Linked DNA regions of Saccharomyces cerevisiae S288C. The protein of the gene in region 1 interacts with the protein of each later gene in a pairwise test. Each region holds a gene or a part of one and is shown in the gene's direction. Other genes may lie near its edges.

Region 1 (12,975 bases):
GAGGTCTCGAAGGTGGTGATAAACTACCACTACTAAAGCTCTCCAAACCAGAATAAAAAGCACCCTGCTGATCTGCGTTTCGCTGGGGTTCATCCTCTGGAATGTTTGGGAATGATAATTGTGAAGAAGTTCTTGTGTTCAATTGTGGCATATCAAATGAATTGGTACGAGATTGGTTTTTCGCCCACTCCTGAAACTGGGAGTCATTTTTATACTGATTAATACTTGAATCAACTGTGGCATTTCTAAACGGGTTATTAACAGAAAATGGCCTACTAGAGGTACTACTGTTTCTATTCTCCATGCTAAATCTTGCGTATATGTATCAATTTTTCTAAAAATGGAAAATGCTGGCAAAGTGTAATGGAACCTACAATGTATCAACAATTAAGCAGTCGAAGATTATGGTAAAATGACGTTACGTGTTCGAAGGGATAGGTCTGCAAAACACTTAAATTCCTCGAATAAAAATAACAATAAAAAGAGCGAGGTAGATCGGATATATTTCGGATTCTACACACTATAAAATACAAATTAGAAATTTTACAGAGTTACCTCCCAAGAAAGAGTATCTTCATTTTCTAGTGAATAACCTATCGCCAGTCACCATGATCTGCTGTTGAACCAACCTCGAGGCGGGAAAAAAAACAAAAAAAAAAGTAACGCGATTTACGCTCCGTGCACGACGATTCTTTGAGATGGCTGCCAATGGTTGATCACAAGTACTAGCTTCTACACAACTGGATAAGAATGACGCATATATACTTTTAAGTATGTTGTTATTAAATCTGCTATATAATGATGTTATACGTGCATTGGTCAAGGAGAAAAAGGTTTTATGTTATGAACTTTTGTTAAAACCATTCAAAGAACAATAAGTATCGAGAATATCGAAAGTAGTAGCAAGGAAGCTATACGAGTTACATGTCCAGCTGGATCTTTGTTAAATGTATAAGGACTGCTCAATCGAACGCCTGCTCCCGAAGCACTGCTGGTTCTATTAGTTGAATTTGACCACTCTTCTGAGGCTGACACAGAAAAGCTGTCGAATTGAGTACTGGATGGTCTAGCACTTGTGCTTGCTCTTGAAGTATCATAGAATGACCGGCCCGCACCTGTAATCACACCGTTTGAGTATGCTGCTGTCAGTTGACCTGGGACAGTGAACATATAGCCTGACCTATAGGATGGATAAAGAGTCAAGTTTCTTGTATTACTACTATTCATCACTTTTGCGTAAGGAATGTAACCAGATTTGATCTTCTTGATGATAGTGGACGCGGTAGTTTCATTTGTCTCTTCAGTAACTGCGTCATCTTCAACCTTCTTTGCCTGTGCAATGGCTATAGTGTTATCCTCTAAGTCCATTGCCATATATATATTTTTTATGAAGGCTTCTCCGAGTATGTTTACTCCAGTATTTGTATTAGCGTATAGTGTTAGAAAACAAGCTTCCTGTCCAGAACTGAAAAACATTGAAGAATTGGTGGATGTATCGTAAGTAGATGATAATAAATCACGTAGGGGTATTTCAATTGTCAATTCTCGAAGCCTGAAACCCAAGGAGACACCCATATCTGCTATAGAACATTGGACTAGCCACCTATCTAGTGATTCCACATAAGTGGCCGCAATTTGAACGGCAATCTGAATAATGGTACTAGTTGGCAGGTAACTGACCGAAGAAGTTGAATCAAGTAAGGCTGGGCTCAGAAAGTCCTTCGAAGTCATATTCAAACTTTGTCCGCTGTTAGACACAATATAAATAGGGCCTAATGGCACAATTGGGTACCCAACACTAACAGCATTACTCACTGGGTCAACGTAAGGAATTAAGTCAAATTTTCCCAGTGTACCGGTAAACAGCGAAGGATCCACCCCTCCAAGAAGTAGCTTCCCACAATTAGATATTGGATCTCTATATGTTTTGTACGTGGAAGTGTCTCCAGCCAACCACAGTGAATATGACGAACTTTCAATGATATCTGCATCTTTCAATAAGGATAGAAAATAAGACTGTTCTGTGTATTGTGAGCTATCGATAGCATTGCCTGGGTTTGTGACCTTCCCGCTTAAACCTAACAAGCCTGAAGTCTTAAAGTTCGAGGACTGAATATCAAAGAAGGAAACGTTTGAAATGGATAGGCTCCCCGAGTTAAATTGTACGTTATCTCGAGTTACCATTAAATCGGTTATCAAAGCGGTCGAGGAATTTTCTGAGGAAACATTTGTAAAATTCATATCGTCTGTCACCAAAGTACAGTTAACAGCTCTACCATCAATGAAAGAAATCTCATATATTTGGCCAGGAGAAACAGGAACAGATGATGTAGAGTCATTCATGAGGTAGCTGGGATGCTTATGATATACACCGGAGTATTCGTTATGACTTTCGCTTGTTCCGGAAACCAGATTTATGTACGGTTGGATAATATCCACTAGCAAACGTTGGCGTTGACCGGGAGTGCCAAATGTGCTATTAACATAGTAGTTTCCTCTACCATCTTTACCCACGGCTAGTACAGGAAACGGCTCCTCCGTTGACGAAGAGGTTCCAGACTTTGCTGTAGTTGTTGTATTTGCAGTACTAGCCGTTGCAAACTCTAACTGAAAAGTTGATATGAGCCACAGATACCATAAAATTAGGCATGTCATAGCAAAAATCAACGGCAAATAAAGCAAGCACGCAGTTACGATACGTTCAAAGATCTTTCCAAGTTCTGTATCCTTCTAGAACGATTAGTCTAATGCAACTGATATGTCCAACATTCTAAATATAACTTATTTTGGTATTAGCTGCATCATTCTACCATGATGAGCTGCGGCGTTCAATATCTCATTTTTTTTTGTTCGGGGTAACGAGGTTCATTGTTGCAAATAGCACGACCAAACGAGCGGTATGATACAAAGCACTGCAAGTCATAGCTGAGGTAAAAAAAAAAAGAATGAAGATCTCATTGTTTGGGTTAAATTACTTTCAAGAGCCTCTTTTTTAGGCTCGGTTGGTTAAAAGAGCAAGAACCGAAACACTAGTGCATCAATTTTTATAACAATTTTGTAATTATGTTGATAATTGGCAGTAAAGTTACAAAATACACACTAATTAAAATATTGAACACTTACAATATAAAGCTGATATCAAAATAAATATCGAACAATAAATACAACTCTCTCCAATATCAATATACTGCCGTCGTTATTTAAAAAATTAGCCCACCTGGGAACATTATAGAAAGAGATTTGTTTTTTGGTCTGGCAATGTGTCATAATCAAGCTCTTTGCAATATACATCCCCAACTCATATATTTGTATACAGGAAGAAGAATCGACCACCATCTATCGACTAGCATATTATCATATACGGTGTAAAAAGATGACATAAAAGATGAGAAACAGGGTAATCCCAACAATTGTCTCAATATTTACCTATTTCTCACATTGTCACCGCTCGAAAGTGCATTTTATATACGTTCTTTTGTGACGACTACTTTTGGCGGGAATCTTAGCGCCTTAAATGCAGTGAAAGATTACTCTTTTGAGTTATTGCCTGAATTTTGTCTGCAAAATTGTTATTATTCAGGAATTTAGAATAATTCAACTCTGGAGGCCTGCGCTGTACTACGGGCTCAAGTAATACCGGAGTGTCTCGACAATCCTAATATAAACAGTCTTAGGGAAGTAACCAGTTGTCAAAACGGTTTATCAGATTAATTCACGGAATGTTACTTATCCTATATATTATATAAAATATGGATCATACTAAATGGTGGAAGCGCGGAACCTTGGATCTAAACTGTTGGAATAAGAATCCACTATCGTCTATCAACTAATAGTTGTACTATCAATATATTATCATATACGGTGTTAAGATGATGACATAAGTTATGAGAAGCTGTCATCGAAGTTAGAGGAAGCTGAAGTGCAAGGATTGATAATGTAATAGGATAATGAAACATATAAAACGGAATGAGGAATAATCGTAATATTAGTATGTAGAAATATAGATTCCATTTAGAGGATTCCAATATCATCGAGGAGAACTTCTAGTATATTCTGTACACCTAATATTATAGCCTTTATCAACAATGGAATCCCAACAAGTCTCTCAAAATACACCCATTTCTCATAAACCAATTGTTCAGGCATTTATACGTTTAGATAGCCCAGCTATAGAAGGCGGAGTTTTACCTCATGTTGCTCAATCTGTTCGTTTTCTTAGGTTTCATATGTGTTCTATGAACGTTCAGGATAATGTATTGTCATGCTGACGTATCCCATTCTGAGATGTAACGTCTGTACAAAACAAAGCTTCAGTAGCTCAGTAGGAAGAGCGTCAGTCTCATAATCTGAAGGTCGAGAGTTCGAACCTCCCCTGGAGCATTTTTGCCGAGCACGGTACTTTTTTTTATTCTCAGTAAATGAAATCCAAGGGCTCATTTATTTGAGAAAGTAAATAAGGTATTAGAGGTAATAAAGTAACCATGGGCCAAGAAGACATATTCATAAACTTATGAAAAAACTTTGTAGGTATTAATAACTTATGGGTAAATTACTATCTATGAATGAATATTTACTATTTACTAGTGCTCATCTGGATATTAATTTAGACTTTTCAACGTCTCTCTTATAATATTTGTACATTTATTAACATCATCATCATTAAATCTAGGCTTGCCATCTTCTTCGAACATATCTTCGTCAGTAAACAGGGTGCTATCAGTAGGTTCTTTAATGTTATTATTTTCCACCAATTCCGTCAGTAAAGTTTCGTCAAAGTTTTTGGGAAACGGCCAGCCTTGGTCTTTTATTATCTGTATCAAAGCCATATGCCTGATTTCAAAGCCCCCGAAGAGTATCTTATTGTACCAGGAGCGTGCTCCTTTTTCGTCTCTCATTTTGACATAATGCATTACCATTGCAGAACAAAATTTAAACGTTAAAGGCACCCCATTTTTATGCATCACCTGTAGCAATTCTGATAGTTCAGCCTGCGTTAATGTATGATTTTTATAGGCTACTATGGAAAAGGGACATAGCGTGGTAGTTAAAACCACTTTTTTGGCGAAAGGTTGAGAATAAAAATCCAGAAGAACATTGTAGGCCAGCCTTGGTTCACGAGCTTGGAATCTAATATAATTTAGGAAAACATTGAGGATTCCGGTATCATTTCTCCAATACCTGTATTTATGAGCTTCCTCGGAAAGAAAACTCTTGTACTTGTAATATAAATCAAGAAGACAATTCTTGAATTGACCACTTTCCAGTGAAACAGAACTCGAAGATAAAAGGCTTCTATACAGTTCAGTTAAAATTGGAACAGTCACTGGTGATCCTATTCGCATTGTGTTCGGTAGAATATTATTTTTGTTCTTCAGCTCTCTTGCTAACGTAGGAGCTGTCAAAGTCGTTGATTTTGAATGATAGAGCCACCCCCAAATCCCTAGGGCATTCAGAATATTAGCAGACGCCTTTGAGCTGTATGATGAGAGGAGATATTTACACACCAATTTCGGGTCACGAAAGGCTTGAAAAGATGCAATTAATTCACCCATTAAAAACTCCTTGAACAATTTATATTTCATCAGTGGGCTGCTTTGTAAGCAGGAAATTACATTGAAAAGCTCCTCCTGCCTATTAGATATTCGGAGCAGATTCAAGTAGTGGTGAATGGGAAAATTCAATATGTGTTCGTTTCCATCAATGTGATTAAGCAATCCTGAGCTTACAATGAATTTCAGTTCCTCTTGAAAGGTTTTGATGAATAACTCAACATTTCCACTTTTCAAAAGGTAATAAAGTAAGGTATTGTTGAACTTGACATAACGCAGGTTCTTTTGCTTTGCTCCATCTTTACCAGAATAACAGTGCTGTTCCAACTTCTGTAGTAGAGCTTGAATAAATACTTTAATGAACCTAAAATTTTTCGCCTTAACAAGGCCATTTACTAGAGCGATTAAGCTGTCAAATGTATGCAACTTCAGAACTTTTTCCATTATAAATTTTATGTTTGTCTCATCATGCAAAAATATTTGGAACGTGGCTAACTGCCTCTCCATCTCAGTTCCTTTTATCAGCCTATTGGTAAATCTCGTACAGTAGTTAGAAGTAAAGAGAAGAACATCACTTTTCAAAAGAAAAAGATAGTGATTAAAAGATTCTGATTTTGGAATATGATACCAGAACCATCTGTGGACCTCACCTGGTAGATAAAATCCAATTTTTCTTGCCACCTCTGGGTATAACTCGTGTTGATGCAAAATGATATCATATAAAAGTTTCTTCTTTTCATTTTCTGAGCAATTATTTATATGCAGGGCATTTCGTAGAGATTCAAAAAAAGAGGCGTATTCAGTTACTCCAAAAGTCTCACTTAATACAGTTTTCAATTGTCGGAGCTCGTATAAACGCTTCTGAACATTTTTCGAAGATCCGCTCTTCCTAGAACATGGCACCTGTCGTTCAAAATCGCCAAACTGCAAAGGTTCTGAACGATTTGATTTAATTTTCAATGGACAGTTTTTCGTAGATAAATGGCGCAGATTTGTAATAGGTAGAATTGTGTATGTCCCTGCGCTACCCATATGTTTAAACAGCGGTGAAGTGACCATTTGAGCCAAAGGCTGGGAATAGACACGGCATATACATTTTAACATGCCAATAAGAACATTAAAGTGAACGCTTGGAAGATTTGAAAGCCCATTCTTGCCAGTACGCCAATAAAGTGTGTCGCGCAGAATAGATCTTCATGTAATTCCTTTTTCCCTTTTATGCAATCTATAATGTTAATCAGCGTAGATCACTATATACGCTTTTTTTTTTTTTTTTCAGCTCCGATTAGAGAGCAAAAGAGATGTAACATCGATCCTGCTATAATTAGAATACAAGTGTTGATCTTTAATTGTACTGTTTCTGCGAAAGCTATCGAGCATTTGGCTGTATTCCACTGTCCATTGTATTTTTAACTCTCCTTTTTATCATTCTGAAACATAGAGCTGTTTTGACAAAATTCAGTTTTTTCTCAATTAGTGCTTTCATTCATACGTTCGTTACAAGCTTTGAATTTTAACTTTATTTTCGGGCTTCCACCTTTGCTTCATTATTTTACTTCAGCTCTTTAGCTTTCTGTGACATTCAATTTTATTGTATGACAGCACGTCGTTTGATTAATATAGTTCCTAATACGTCTAAGCTAGACCCTTTAAAGGAGGAGGACTCAACGCATCTGAAACAAAATCAACCTAAGAAGTTTTCCACAAAGGAGTTGATGCTTTCAGAATATACCGAACGCAAAAGTTGCAGCCTTCCGTTGTCTAAATCCCGATCAGGCAGTAGTGCATCCAGTAGCACTACAGGTTCGAACGGAAAGAATATTGGAACAAGACGCCCTAGCTCCAACCTAGATTTCAATTTCGCTAGCCAAGATGTTGTTAAAAATGTATTAGGTAATAATAATCCACACGTACCCACAGCGAAGTGCATTAGGCCAATATCAGATGATTCTATAGGTACATCGAGCACAGAGATATTTTCTTCATCGCACTCAAATACGACATCTGATTCTTTATGTACATCAGATATAAGCTCAGAAGAGGGTGAAATAGCAAACAGTAAGATGGAGGATAACTGCTTCTTCAAAAGTATGAGAGAAGCTGACCATAGAAGCAATATTACGCCCTTAAAGAAAAGCCGACCGGGATCAATACTACAGAAAACACGTACAGCAAGTAGCGCTGATAAAACAATCTGCTCAATGAGTACCATAACTACATGCATTCCATCTCGTCAAAATTCGGTGTCAACTCCTAAACTCTCCAGGACAGTAGGGCTGCCTGGATCGAGCAATACAACCAACAGTATAGCCGCATCACAAACTTCATTCATAAGCGAGAATGACTCTCCTCTTAAACATCATTGCATGAGTACCGCAACTATCCAAGAACCAAAACTCATGCCGATCACAAAAACGCCGTATGTGCATTCCAATAGTACTTCTGTAATATTACCATATAAAACAACCCAACTTACTCCTTCTCAACGTTACCGTTTAAGGAAAGAGCAAAATGACCAATCTTTGCGTAAAGCCATAAAAATGAAAGAAAAATTTTATGAAGATCAAGACGTTAACTTGGAACTTCAAGAGGGCGATGTCGACGGCTCGTTAATTTGGAACATTCCAATGGCATCTTTATCGACCAGTTCTTTTTTAACATTATCTAAGTTTAATAGAAAAGAAATGAGTTTAGATTCAGCGCGGGGGGATGAAGAGATATTAATACAGGAGAACAATTGCGAAGGCAAACAACACTCATCTTCGGCTCTCTGTGTGGACAAAACTTTCCATCAGGTTCATAGTACTAGAAAACATACATCAAATTCAAGTAACACTTTAAAAGAATCATGTCTGGACTATAAGGAGCTTCCGCCAACATGCATTCCTGGTATATCTCCTGTGTCTGATTCACAGTACATCCAGGATACAATGAAAAATCTCTCCCAAATATACCTGCATAGTTCCGAAAAAATCTCCAAAAGTATTCTTTCTGGTCGTTCAAGATCTGTACAGAGTTTACCACTGGAATTTAAAGAAGCCAGTAGTCAGGGAATGGAAGACCTAATGCTAGTTTCAGAGGACAAACTAAAGGCCGTAAGTCATTTCCGTCCGAGTTGGCTCCCGCCCAAGGATTTCAAAGAGAGGAAATTGCAAGATAAACAAATCTACAAAAATATCGACTTAGCATCAATGGAAGAGTTGCAAAAAAATAAAGAACGTGACGAAAAAGCCAAAAAGAATGAGCAGAATAAGGTCAAATTCCAGCATTTACTGGACCGAGGCATTACTCGTAACTCGTCATTAAGTGAATTAAAGAAAATTATTTGGGAAACACCTTTGATATCTAAAGTACGGCTTCAAATATATAGTCAACTTCTACAAAGTGACAATTGCTTGATAACAAAATGTTTTATTGAATCATTTGAGGAAGTAATGCAGCTACTCAACAAAATGGATTTTCCCAAAGATAAAGAATTTGAAATAAGACAGCTTATTGAACACGATGTACAGGAAAAGGTTTTTTATAAAAATGGAACAGATAAGCAAGTGGTTTCTGACTTGATGCTATTACTGCAACTGAAATCTATATCTCAACAAGGTTTGGTTACTGGTGATGAGATGCTATTCTACCATTTTTTAACTGATCAATCTTTTGGGACTTTGAAGGAAACATGGGAAATGGTCAACTTGATACAGATGACGTGCTTCAGTGAAATTTGCAAGGAAAAATACGATTCAAGAATATTAAATCCCAGAGGAATTGTTGCCCATCTTTTACGAAAAGATGAGTTCAAAAATGAATTCAATGGCGGATGTTTGAATAGCAATACATGGTGGAACATATTGCAAAGAATGGACCATAAACTTTTTATGTGGGTAATGGATGTAATTATCGTTCATAATGGCCAAAACTTTGCAAACTACCCCGTAAAAATGGAAATATTCAAAGACAAAGTATGGGAATACTATAGATCTAAGAAGGTTATTGTAAATTATAAGATTTTGGTTTCACTAACAGTTAACGTATTGTTAAACTACCACTTCGGATATGATAATCTGAAACATTTATCAGATTTGGATGATAAGCATTTTTGTATTCCACTGTATACGGAGGATAGTATCGAAGAGGAAAACCTCAATAATATTTTCACAAAGTGGTGGTTGCACTACTACCGAAAATTACGTTAGCGTGTATGTGGCACGTACTAAAAGTTTGGTGACCAGACTATCTCTTCTTAAGTTCATTTTCACTCTGAAACTTATAAATGCATACATACAGAAATTACTTTCGATTAATATAATAATATATTTTTAATAAACAATGAACTAATGCCCTTATTGTGTTTTGTTATTAACCTTTTCATCACCATTTTTTTTTGCTAGCTTCTACGGCATTCACTTACGTGCTGCAAAATTTCGCAGCATGGAAGAAATTGTTCGCGAAGAAAAAAGATTTCGCTCAGTGATTTGTAGTGACAATAGGTACCAGTGTTATCACTAAGTATATCTTTTAGTATATCTCTTCGCTTGAGGAGGGATCAAAAAAAAACAAACGTAAACGTGCACATAAACGTCAAGTACTTTTTGCAGGCATTAATATTCGTCTCCAACAAAGACAAATAAAGAAGCAATCTTTTCATTACCTTAAGCCAGTATCTATTGATATCAATCGATAAGGTTCGTTGTTATCGGTGCTAAAAATTATAAAGTGAAAATAAGAATCTTTTCATGTCGTGCTCAAACGGCATCTGGCCTACTGTATCTAATTTGTGCGGATCATTATCCTTCTTCACCTCTGTTATTTCATTGTTTCCACAAATAATTGAGACTTATCGAGATAAATCTGTCGATGGGCTATCGCCATATTTTTTGCTGGCTTGGTTATGTGGGGATATTACCTCGCTGATAGGGGCAAAGCTAACAGGGCAATTGTTATTTCAGATACTTTTAGCAATTTATTTTCTATTGAATGATTCTTTTGTATGTGGTCAATATTATTACTATGGCGTGCTGCATGAAAATAAATTGGCGACTGTCGGCCATGAGCCTAAACCTCTTCTTCCCGAACTGGTTGAAAATGGTGAGCTTTTGAGGGAGGAAGAGGACATGATACAAGGTGGTAGCAGTGCAGAAAGCCCTAGAAGCAGTAGAAGAAGGTCTGCCATTACAGCAGCCTTGGCTATAGCTCATACTATAAGTACAGCTAGCGCATATCCGCTAAATGTAGGCTCCACCCAATCACAAGTGGGGCCTCCCGGAGATGGTAAAAACAGCCAGCTGGGTACAATTTTATCTTGGATTGGCGCTTCCTTCTACGTAGGCGCACGTATCCCACAACTAATCAAGAATTACAATAGAAAGTCTACAGACGGCTTATCTCCCTTCCTATTTGCTACTACACTACTCTGCAATATCACGTATAATTTGAGCATCTTCACAAGCTGTAGATTTTTAGATAATCAGAACAAGAGGGAATTCATCGTGAATGAGTTGCCCTTTATATTTGGAAGTGCTGGAACAATTGCGTTTGATTTGATATACTTCTACCAATACTATATCCTTTATGCAACTGATATGCAACTACGTGAACTGGAAAGAGAACTATACAGTCCTGAAGAAGACAGTGCAGCGCAACTAGTGACAGAACGTACATCACTGTTGTCTGGTGAAACGCAAACATAGTTTTCCCTACGGAGTACTACCATTTATATTTAAACAATGCACTCTGCTCTTGGGATAGTCCTTGCGAGACCCTTTTTTCCCAATAGGAATACTACGTTCGTACTCTGTGTAAAAGTACCCAACTATAGTTAGCGCCAGTTTTACGTAAAACCGTCTATGTCTTGTTTGCATTCGCAACAGCTACAAACACATATAGTTTGTCACACTAATATTAATAATGAAAGTTATTATGTATTCACTGTGAACGCTTCAGTATACAGTACGGCAGTAAGTGTTTCATTCTGTTCTGGATTAATAATCTTTCACTTTGCCTAGCCATTTGGGGGCGGGTTTTGGCTGGGTTAGCTTCTCCTTAGTCATGGAGAAAAAAAATCGCCCGCAAGTATCTCGAAAAAGGAAAAAATGCCCACGCGTATAAGAGTGGACCCAACTGCTCGAGGTTTCAAGAGCTTGTAGATTAATTTCTGTAGTTCAGTTATACTTGCCTACAAGTGCTATACAGCAAATAGCGAACAGTACGAAAGTAAACATCATATTATCAATAATGGTTCACAACAAAGTTACTATCATTGGTTCAGGTCCAGCTGCACACACCGCCGCCATCTATTTGGCCAGGGCAGAAATCAAGCCAATCCTATATGAAGGTATGATGGCGAACGGTATTGCTGCCGGTGGCCAGCTAACCACCACTACAGAAATCGAAAACTTCCCAGGTTTCCCAGATGGTCTAACAGGTAGCGAACTGATGGACAGAATGAGAGAACAATCCACGAAGTTTGGCACTGAAATTATCACGGAAACAGTTTCCAAAGTTGATCTGTCTTCCAAACCATTCAAGCTATGGACCGAATTTAACGAAGACGCAGAACCTGTGACGACTGACGCTATAATCTTGGCCACAGGCGCTTCTGCTAAGAGAATGCATTTGCCGGGCGAGGAAACCTACTGGCAAAAAGGTATTTCTGCCTGTGCCGTGTGTGATGGTGCCGTCCCCATTTTCAGAAACAAGCCATTGGCCGTCATTGGTGGTGGTGACTCTGCATGTGAAGAAGCTCAGTTCTTGACCAAGTACGGCTCAAAAGTGTTTATGCTTGTCAGAAAAGACCATTTGCGTGCTTCTACCATTATGCAAAAGCGTGCTGAGAAGAACGAAAAAATTGAAATCCTTTACAACACTGTTGCGCTAGAAGCTAAGGGGGATGGTAAATTATTGAATGCCTTGAGGATTAAGAACACTAAAAAGAATGAAGAAACCGATTTGCCAGTCAGCGGTTTATTTTATGCAATTGGCCACACTCCAGCAACAAAGATTGTCGCTGGCCAAGTCGACACTGATGAAGCGGGCTACATTAAAACTGTCCCAGGCAGCTCATTAACCTCCGTTCCAGGATTTTTCGCTGCTGGTGATGTTCAGGATTCTAAATACAGACAAGCTATTACTTCTGCTGGCTCTGGTTGTATGGCCGCTTTGGATGCTGAGAAATACTTAACTTCCCTAGAATAGATGAATTTTCCATTATAAAATAGATACACTCAAATTTTTGTATACTTATCCAACAAATCGTTACTTTCTCCTTTTCTTTAATAAAAAGCAAACCATGAATTTTATTTCTTTTCCCCATTATTAGAGAAAGCCAATACATAATCTACATATATTGCGTGTCTGAATTAAACTTTTTAGACACATGACATAGGCCATCGGCTTACTTTGTAACGCGTGGTTGCCTATACACCGACTATTA
Region 2 (10,612 bases), on another chromosome or scaffold:
CCTTTGGATATTGCTTCAAAGACTTCAAGAAAGCCTTATCAATAGCATCCAAACCCTTCTTCTTTCTGGAAGCAGCCAAACAAGCAGTCAACATCAAGTCGTCTGGAGAAACACCTTCAACAGTGTATGGTTCGTGCAAGGACAACTTGTTCTTGGTCAAAGTACCGGTTTTGTCGGAACACAAGATTTCGACACCAGCCAAGGATTCAATAGCAGACAACTTTTGAACAATGGCTTGTTTCTTAGCCAAGTAAGCAGCACCGACGGCCATAGTGGTGGTAACGACAGCTGGCAAACCGACTGGGACACCAATAATAGTAATACCTAGAGTGTATCTCAAGATTCTAACAATACCGTTGGTTCTGTAGAAACAAGCAGTCCAGACCAACAACAAAGTGGCAATGACCAAAACCAATAAGATAATACCAATACCGTTCAAAACTTCAGTGAAATGACCTTGACCACCAGCGGCTTTGTTAACCAAAGCAGCAGCTCTACCAACGAAAGTGTTGTCACCGGTAGCGGTAACAACCATGAAACCTTCACCTCTCTTAACAGTGGAAGAAGAGAAAGTTTGGTCACCGTAATGTTTGTCGACAGCCAAAGATTCACCAGTAATAGCAGATTGATCGATTTGCAAGAAACAGTCTTCAGTGACAATACGACCATCAGTTGGGATAACAGTACCATCTTCCAATTGCAAAATATCACCTGGGACGACTTCGTTGGCTGGAATTTCAACCAATTGACCGTCTCTGATAACAACAGCAGTGTTAGCCAAAGTCTTTTTCAATTCATCGACAATAGAACCAGCTTGGAATTCTTGAACGAAACCAACACCAGCGTTTAACATTAACAAACCACAGATAACACCGAAATCGACCCAATCGGACAAACCGGCAGCCAAAATAGCAGCGGCTTCCATAACGAATTGAATTGGACCGACGAAAAACATAACGAACTTAACGACTAAAGATTCTTTTTCGTCAGCCATTTGATTCAAACCGTACTTCTTTCTTCTTTTCAAAACTTCATCGGAAGTTAAACCGTAAGATGGGTCAGTTTGTAAATATTCTTCTGGAACTGGTCTAGCTTCACCGGCGGCAACTGGACCATCGTTATCACTGTCTTCGTCGTCGACACCGTGATTAGATTGTAGTTCTTCGATTAAAGCATCGATATCGTCATCGTCAGAAGATTCAGATGCAGCGTCATCGTAAGTCTTAGCAGGCTTTTCTTGAGTTGGCTGATGAGCTGAAACAGAAGATGCTGAAGAGGATGATGAAGAGGATGATGTATCAGTCATATTGATATTGTTTGATAATTAAATCTTTCTTATCTTCTTATTCTTTTCAATGATTTTCTTTAACTAGCTGGGGTATATTTTTTTTCTTTCTTTTGAATGTGTGTATAAAAGAGAGAAAAAATGGTTATTTTCCAATTAATTAATTATTAACGATTGTTAAAGAAAAAATTTATCAACGAGGTTGATAGAAAAAAAAAGTTTTTGTAGATATAGAAGAAAAAAAGATTTTCACTATTGGTGTTATAGGAAAGAAAGAGAAAAAATTTAAGAGAAATTAGATGTTAGACGATAATGATAGGACATTTGAAAATAATACAATATTTGGCCTTTTTATATAATCGAAACTAATGGAGGGGAGCATAAGCGGTACCCACCATCGACCACGTTTCGTCACCGGTCATAATTGGAATAAACAAAACAAACAAACGAACTAAAGAGTGTGAGAGTAACAATTTCCACAGAGGTAAAAAAAAAAAAAAGGAAAACAGAAACAAAAAAAGCTCATAGTTCTACTATAGCTTCTTCAGACTTTCTGTGAACGAGGGAAAAAGACAACAAAAAAGCAATGGATAAACGGTCTCGAGAGATTTTTCATGATGGAAAAGGAAGGAAAAAAACCCGAAAGGCATATGGATAACATTCTGAAAATGTCTATTCCTGTCAAAAGCATGTCAGAGGTCTCGAGGCCTGGAAGTGCCGCATTAGGAAATACAGATGCAATGCGCGCGAGTTTACGAAATTCTCGCAGGAGTTTCTCCGGCCATGTGCGGCTGGTTCTACGTCTCGTGTATGGGTTTATTTCTGCGGTAATTATCGCCGGATCTCCGCTTCGAGACCGGGTTTGTTTTCAAATTACCGGAAAAGGTCAGGCAAAACAGAGTGATGTATGGGTGATCCCAGCAATGCCTGTTTATGTTTCTCCGTTTCAGGAAGCTTGTTTTGTTTTTTCCCCGTCAGCGATGGTGACGTAAACGACTTTTTGCACTTTAGCAAAGCTGAGTTAATCTCGGAAAATCTCTGTGTCCTTCCTTTTTCTTCTAGCTTCCGTTCCGAGTCTCATCTTCTTTCCCGTGCCGTCGGGTTTAGTAAAGAAATGTAAAGAAAAAATGTCGTATCGTACCCGAGAAATATTTCAATTCTCTTACGTATGCGATAGCAGTTGGAAAGATCTGATTCGTTACGATGACTTGATAAGCGCGGGCTTTTTCGCCCTATACGGCTTGGGCCTGACTAAAATGTGATTCTGTGTTTTACGTATATGCGCGTATATAGAGCAATTGATTGACTTATTACGCAGTTTATCAAGATAAATTCTTTGTTCTTGCTTACGGGAGTGTGGTAAGCATGTATACGCCCGTTTAAAAACCCGATGGAGGCTTTTTCCCCAATTCTCGTACTCCATTGGGCATATGATTTCTTTCTTTTTCCCTTTTTTTTTTTTTCTATTTCCCTAAACTAACAGAACAAGCTTCAAAACAAATGACGGAGAGAAAAACAGTTTTGATTTACCAAATGCGGCAAACTTATTGAGGCTAGACACAGCTCTACCGGATTCGTCCGAGCACTTTTTTGTTTTCTTTTCTATATTTACTACAAACATAACAAAGTTTTGTGCGTCTTCCCTAAAGCAGCTAGGATGAAAATCCTATGCTCTCATCTCGCTGGTTGCCATCTCATCGCATCCAATGCTGTCTGTAATCATTTTATTGGACTTTTCTTTGTTTGCTAATCCCCCTTTTCTTTTTCCCGTTCTTTTCTTGTCCTTGTTTTTCATTTTAACTATATTTCTGAAATTAAGGAAAAATAAGGCAAAAAGTGGGTGGATGCATCTGCGACTTCTCTAGTTTTGCGCCTACTTGGGCGCGCTAATAATAAGGGTTTAGCTTCTTAAAATAAAAATGTCAGTAACAGTTGTACGATAAGGTCTTTACTTTTTTTCTCTCGAGAAATGTCTTTTTCTAATTAATCTCTCTTTTCTGTTGTTGGTTACTGCCTTCCATAGTCCAAGACCATTCGTTATATGGTGCAGTGTAGGATCGAGGAGAATCGGCTCACGGTGCTTATATTATTGCCCGGCTTCAAGTATATTTACATCAGTCTCCATAGTTGTTTTATCTTATTCTTGGCATTGATCTGCTTATTAAACTATTTATCGGTTCTCTCTTCTGGTACAGAACTTAACATGATCTTGTTTTCACTATTGTGCCATAAGCTGAAAAGGCTAAAATAAAATTAAGATAGTAAAGTTCACTCTTAAACTAATCAAGCATGAATAATACAAAATAAATATTTGAGCCAAAGGGGATGATTTAATTATCAAGTTTTTCTTTTCATACTTCGGTTTACAAGCATTGTTTACGGCTCTTCTTTTCTTAGTTCTTGGCAGTTTGTGTTTTCTTGATGAGAATAAGAAAAGTATCGATCTTACGGCAAAACATAAATAAAACACAACTTTATCTTTTTTTGTCGCAGTAGTGTGGTCCTACAGCTCCAAGCCTGCCGCTTTTAAAATAGTGAGCTGTGCATACTGATATATGTTCTATTTTACCCATTTGAGGGGCCTAAATTGTCTATTAATTTTTTTACTTTAATACAGTTTGTATAGAAACATGTGGCACTAACAGCTTTATCCGCCCGCAGAAAAGATAAAAAAAAAGGGTTTTTACCCGGCAAAGAAGCTTCTCCATCATTTGTCAGGGGGAAAAGAAAATTAGGAGGCTCAGGCCCTAGAAGCGCCCTCCACGCTTTTTAAACAAATGCTAATCTTCATAATTCATTATCATCGCCACTTGGCATTGCATTTAATGGGCGCCTTCCAAAAACATTCAAATAGTATCAGCCCCCCCCCAAGGAAAGGCTTTATTTGAATTGCGTTAAATATTCGATTTCTTTCTAGCAATTATTACCAAAATAAATTGCAGGCTTAACGAAAAATTAAATAATCTCTTCAGATTTTTTCACTTCCCCAAACTACATTTTAGTCAGGTTGGCACGATTCAATTGAGAAGGCTTAGGTTAAGAATAAACATTTTTTCATAAATTTGAGGAAGAAGGGGCTTTTCTGGTAATTTTCATTCAATAGAAAGGCTTAAGAAAACGTCAAAAAACTCATGCGCCTCCAGTAAAAACTAAGTGTATTAAGAGAATTGTATCACATATATACGACATTGAATTAAAGAAATAAAACTTGAACAAATAAAGTTTAGAAAAGTGGTTCTAAAAAAAAAAAAACTGTGTGCGTAACAAAAAAAATAATGTCTAGACAAGACGAAAATTCTGCTTTACTAGCGAATAATGAAAATAACAAACCATCGTATACGGGAAATGAGAACGGAGTCTACGATAATTTCAAATTATCAAAAAGTCAACTTTCGGATCTTCATAACCCTAAATCAATAAGATCATTTGTCAGATTATTTGGATATGAGTCTAACAGCCTCTTCAAATACTTGAAAACAGATAAAAATGCAGGCATTTCTCTTCCAGAAATATCAAATTATCGAAAGACAAACCGGTATAAAAATTATGGCGATAATTCACTTCCTGAAAGAATACCAAAGTCTTTTTTACAATTAGTATGGGCTGCTTTTAATGACAAAACAATGCAATTACTGACAGTCGCCGCTGTTGTTTCCTTTGTTTTAGGTCTATACGAACTATGGATGCAACCTCCACAGTATGATCCTGAAGGAAATAAAATTAAGCAAGTTGACTGGATTGAAGGGGTTGCTATCATGATTGCGGTCTTTGTGGTAGTTCTAGTGAGTGCCGCTAACGATTACCAGAAGGAGTTGCAATTTGCAAAGCTAAATAAAAAGAAGGAAAACCGTAAAATTATAGTCATAAGAAATGATCAGGAAATATTAATTTCCATTCACCACGTTTTAGTCGGTGATGTCATTTCATTACAAACCGGTGATGTTGTCCCCGCTGATTGTGTTATGATATCAGGGAAGTGTGAGGCAGATGAATCATCCATCACTGGTGAATCTAACACAATACAGAAATTTCCGGTGGATAACTCATTAAGAGATTTCAAAAAATTTAATTCTATCGATAGTCATAACCATAGCAAACCATTAGATATAGGTGACGTTAACGAAGACGGTAACAAGATTGCTGATTGTATGTTGATTTCAGGTTCCAGAATTCTCTCTGGCTTGGGCAGGGGTGTCATCACGTCCGTGGGTATAAACTCAGTTTACGGTCAAACCATGACTTCATTAAATGCCGAACCTGAAAGTACTCCATTACAGTTACATTTGAGCCAATTGGCTGATAATATATCCGTTTACGGTTGCGTGTCTGCTATAATTCTTTTCTTGGTCCTTTTCACTAGGTACTTATTTTACATAATACCTGAGGATGGCAGGTTCCATGATCTAGATCCCGCTCAAAAGGGTTCTAAATTTATGAACATTTTTATCACATCTATCACGGTTATTGTGGTGGCTGTTCCGGAAGGTTTACCATTAGCTGTAACTTTGGCCTTAGCGTTTGCAACAACAAGAATGACAAAAGACGGTAATTTAGTACGGGTTTTAAGAAGCTGTGAAACGATGGGATCTGCTACTGCAGTGTGCTCTGATAAGACTGGCACTTTGACAGAAAATGTCATGACTGTCGTTCGTGGCTTCCCGGGCAATTCTAAATTTGATGATAGTAAATCGTTGCCCGTTAGCGAACAAAGGAAGCTGAATTCTAAGAAAGTTTTTGAAGAAAATTGTTCGTCATCCTTGAGAAATGATTTATTAGCCAATATTGTCCTGAATTCTACCGCCTTCGAAAACAGAGATTATAAGAAAAACGATAAAAATACAAATGGTAGTAAAAATATGTCAAAAAATTTGAGTTTTTTAGATAAGTGTAAATCTAGATTATCGTTTTTTAAAAAAGGCAACAGGGAAGATGACGAGGATCAATTATTCAAAAATGTCAACAAGGGTAGGCAAGAACCCTTTATTGGCTCTAAAACGGAAACAGCCTTACTCAGTTTGGCAAGATTATCATTAGGATTACAACCGGGAGAATTGCAATATTTGAGAGATCAACCGATGGAAAAGTTTAATATCGAAAAAGTTGTTCAAACAATTCCGTTTGAAAGTTCTCGTAAATGGGCCGGCTTAGTGGTAAAGTACAAAGAAGGCAAAAATAAAAAACCATTTTACAGGTTTTTCATTAAAGGTGCAGCAGAAATTGTTTCCAAGAATTGTTCGTACAAGAGGAATTCAGATGATACTTTGGAAGAAATCAATGAGGACAATAAAAAAGAAACTGATGATGAAATCAAAAATCTTGCGTCCGATGCTCTCAGAGCCATAAGTGTTGCCCACAAAGATTTCTGCGAATGTGATAGCTGGCCCCCTGAACAGCTGCGTGATAAAGACTCACCAAATATAGCTGCTCTTGACTTGCTATTTAACAGTCAAAAGGGCTTAATTCTAGATGGTTTACTTGGGATTCAAGACCCTTTACGTGCAGGCGTTAGGGAGTCAGTACAACAGTGCCAACGTGCTGGTGTAACTGTGCGTATGGTTACTGGTGACAATATATTAACAGCAAAAGCAATCGCGAGGAATTGTGCGATTCTTTCTACTGATATTAGTTCAGAGGCTTATTCTGCAATGGAAGGCACTGAATTCAGAAAGTTAACGAAAAACGAACGTATAAGAATCCTGCCAAATTTAAGGGTCTTAGCAAGGTCTTCGCCTGAGGATAAAAGGTTATTAGTAGAAACATTGAAGGGGATGGGAGATGTTGTTGCGGTCACTGGCGATGGTACGAACGATGCTCCAGCTTTAAAGCTAGCTGATGTTGGTTTCTCAATGGGTATTTCCGGTACGGAGGTTGCCAGAGAGGCTTCTGACATTATTTTGATGACTGATGATTTCTCAGCTATTGTCAACGCTATTAAGTGGGGAAGATGTGTTTCAGTCTCCATAAAAAAGTTCATACAGTTTCAATTAATTGTTAATATCACCGCAGTGATTTTAACGTTCGTTTCATCCGTTGCATCTAGTGATGAAACATCAGTACTGACGGCGGTCCAACTGTTATGGATCAATCTAATCATGGATACTCTAGCAGCTTTAGCTTTAGCCACTGATAAACCCGATCCAAATATCATGGACAGAAAACCTAGGGGCCGCTCAACTTCTTTGATTTCTGTGTCAACTTGGAAAATGATTCTATCACAAGCTACATTGCAGTTGATAGTTACTTTCATTTTGCATTTTTACGGGCCAGAGTTATTCTTCAAGAAACATGAAGATGAAATAACAAGTCACCAACAGCAGCAACTGAATGCCATGACATTCAACACTTTTGTTTGGTTGCAATTTTTTACCATGTTAGTATCGAGAAAATTAGATGAAGGTGATGGTATATCAAACTGGAGAGGCAGGATTTCTGCCGCCAATTTGAATTTCTTCCAAGACTTGGGTAGAAACTATTATTTTCTCACGATCATGGCGATCATTGGCAGCTGTCAAGTTTTAATCATGTTTTTTGGTGGCGCACCATTTTCTATTGCCAGACAAACCAAATCAATGTGGATAACCGCGGTACTGTGTGGTATGTTGTCTCTAATCATGGGGGTGCTAGTGAGAATCTGCCCCGATGAAGTAGCAGTGAAGGTATTTCCGGCTGCTTTCGTTCAAAGATTCAAGTACGTATTTGGACTCGAGTTCCTCAGAAAAAACCATACTGGAAAACACGACGATGAAGAAGCGCTGTTGGAGGAATCTGATAGTCCAGAGTCCACCGCCTTTTATTAATAGACGCGCTCTATATGTTTATACAAATGTAAGTGACCAAATGAAAAGATGTGTGTAATAGTTATATTTTCAAAATTGTACACTATATTATATAATCAATAAAAAGAAACTATCTGAAATAGCATGTCCTCCTAAACAAATTCCTTTTTACCCTTTTATGCATTACAAGTGGACCAAAAGGACTGGAAATGGTAAAAAGAAATAAGAATTTAAACATGCTATAAATTTCTTTTGTTAATTGCAAATTTTTTGTTTTTATCACCGATTATGATATCATACCATCGTCAATATTCTTGGTTGATAAATAACTTTGTGCTTTTGATTTTATGCTCTCCGAAAAGTTGCTATACTCAGCAAAGAACTTATCTAGGCCTTTAAACAGACATTTCAGTTCAGAAAGTGAATCAATTCTCCCAATCAAATCCTTGTTTGTTTCATCTTTAGCCTCGTTATCAATCGCAGAGCTTAAAGATTCATCGATTGTATCCTCTAATGCTTTCAATGATGTTCTAAAATCTGTTATCGAAAGATCTGTCCCCGTGCTGGTTGTATTATTTTCTCTAACTGTCGAAATATTCGTAACGGTCCTAACTTGTTCCAGGTAATATACCACTTTTTCAATTCTCTCCTTAATCAACATTAAACTTTGCAGTTGTTGCCTCACATTGGTATTGCGATTATTTTCGTTATCTAGATCGCTTAGTTTCTCAGTTACATTATGCATTCCTGTTTCTAATGCTCTTACAGCACTTGCCAACGTATCTAAGTAATATTCAAGCTTCGATGATTTTAAGGATTCAGTAGAATACAATGAGGAATCGTTCTGTTCTGCTTCTTTGTGATACCTAGAAGATGCCCAAGTTCTTGGTAACGTTTGAGATAATTTATCCAAATTCCATATGGTGCTTTCCAACTCTTTTGTAAGGTTCTTTGTGTAAAAATCCAACCTGGTTAATAGCAATGAGGATACTGATTGCGTTTGAATCTGATCTTCGTTTAAGGCATTTGATAAGAGTATATCAACGAATGCATGGGGAACGAACTCCTCATCAAAAAACATACTCAATATATCATCATCATCACCCGTAATTGTCAACTCTACCATATTCTGCTTAGTTTGGCCTTCTTGTTCTTAGTGAATTGTTCTATTTTAGACATATTTCATATGGAAATAAAATGCATTATCACCCTCAAAGCGCATTACGCCAAGCTCATGCAGCGAAGTGAACTTTTTTGAAAAAGTTACTAGTACGAAAGAGGTTAAGGATTACTTAAGTTATACAAAGCGCAGAAGTTGTTTTTTCCAACTTCAAGCACCTCCCCATTTGATTCATCATCAGAAACGTAACAGAATTGGCTGACCTCATCGTCATTGGAAACTAAAAAGGTGGGCGTCTCAAATTCAATAGCGGGCCGTTCACTTTCTGGGTCTGAAATAATGTCAAGCTTAATACTGGTGTCGAATCCAGAAGATACAAATAAGGCTCCGGCTGCAAAGTAGACATTGTTTATTGGGGTGCCTTCATTAATTAAAAACTCACCAACTGGGCATTCCGGTGATCTTAGATCCCATTGAGCTAGCATTCCATTTTCATATCCGGCATAAATATAGTTTGCATTATTGCCATCGACTGTCAATGAATTACATGAACATGTGAACTTGCTTGGGAGTTGAATAGTTTGCTCTTTGGAAAATACATTATGTACAGTAATAACACCAGAAACGTGACCAGCAATCACATATTTTCCATATGTTCCAAACTCTAGATTATTTTTCTTGGAAGTAGAAATTTCATGTAATTGTCTGTCTGTCCCTACGAACAGCGCTATGCTGTTAACACCATCATGCGGGTTTTCTTTTCTGTTAAACGTGTGAATTGTCGTTCCTGTGCCGCACTCCCAAAGGCGAATTGTACCATCCAAAGAGGCAGAGAGCACATTCCTTCCTCGGTCTATTATGGCAATATCTGTGACTGTCGCCCTGTGTCCAATTAACGTGCGAGGATTTGAGCCGTCTTTTACTGACCAGATCTTTAATTGCATATCCTGTGAACTAGATATCAAAGCTTCACCGCTTGGAAAAAACTTTAGTTTTGTTATTTCACTAACGTGAGCTTGGTCAATTTCTCTTTGAAGGTTGAAATTTGAATCCAATACTTTAATATCGCCTTCTGTAGTGCCTAATATGAACCGTCTCATCTGAAGTTTAGCTGTGTCTACGGCAGTATAATCCGCCCTCTTGAGCATCTTTGAACCATCTCTTATGATAGTATTGAATAAAAAATCATGTCCATCCAACCGCGCCTTGTATAAGTGGGAGCCAACCTTTTCAAATGTATTTCCTTTGCCTGCATCTACACCCCTGCTATTTCCTAACACTACTATCTTATGCTCCTTGATTTCATTTAGGTTTTTGTCAACATTGATGTAAAATTCATCGTCATTTTCATCATTTTCTTCCAGAACAGCTTTAAAATCATACTGGATATGAGCAACTGTGATGGTCTTAGTCATTGTCGTTTCTATTGTA

Evidence for each region.
Region 2: the proteins of YPQ2 (region 1) and PMC1 interact in a protein complementation assay, tested with the Saccharomyces cerevisiae proteins (2 studies listed by BioGRID).

What each region holds. Positions count from the first base shown.
Region 1 is NC_001136.10:1,171,522-1,184,496, forward strand, and holds YPQ2 (Ypq2p), read left to right. Parts: upstream 1-10,279; coding exon 10,280-11,233; downstream 11,234-12,975. Other genes in the region: PAL1 (Pal1p), read right to left, coding at 1-304; YPS7 (putative aspartic endopeptidase), read right to left, coding at 865-2,655; ATP22 (Atp22p), read right to left, coding at 4,599-6,653; SBE2 (Sbe2p), read left to right, coding at 7,145-9,739; thioredoxin-disulfide reductase TRR1, read left to right, coding at 11,778-12,737. UniProt on the Saccharomyces cerevisiae protein: Amino acid transporter that moves arginine across the vacuolar membrane. Active during nitrogen starvation when it exports stored vacuolar arginine to the cytosol, for use as a nitrogen source.
Region 2 is NC_001139.9:481,361-491,972, forward strand, and holds PMC1 (calcium-transporting ATPase PMC1), read left to right. Parts: upstream 1-4,560; coding exon 4,561-8,082; downstream 8,083-10,612. Other genes in the region: H(+)-exporting P2-type ATPase PMA1, read right to left, coding at 1-1,306; YGL007C-A (uncharacterized protein), read right to left, coding at 1,581-1,667; BRP1 (Brp1p), read left to right, coding at 1,900-2,277; YGL006W-A (uncharacterized protein), read left to right, coding at 4,063-4,173; Golgi transport complex subunit COG7, read right to left, coding at 8,348-9,187; RPN14 (Rpn14p), read right to left, coding at 9,343-10,596. UniProt on the Saccharomyces cerevisiae protein: This magnesium-dependent enzyme catalyzes the hydrolysis of ATP coupled with the transport of calcium. Transports the calcium to the vacuole and participates in the control of the cytosolic free calcium.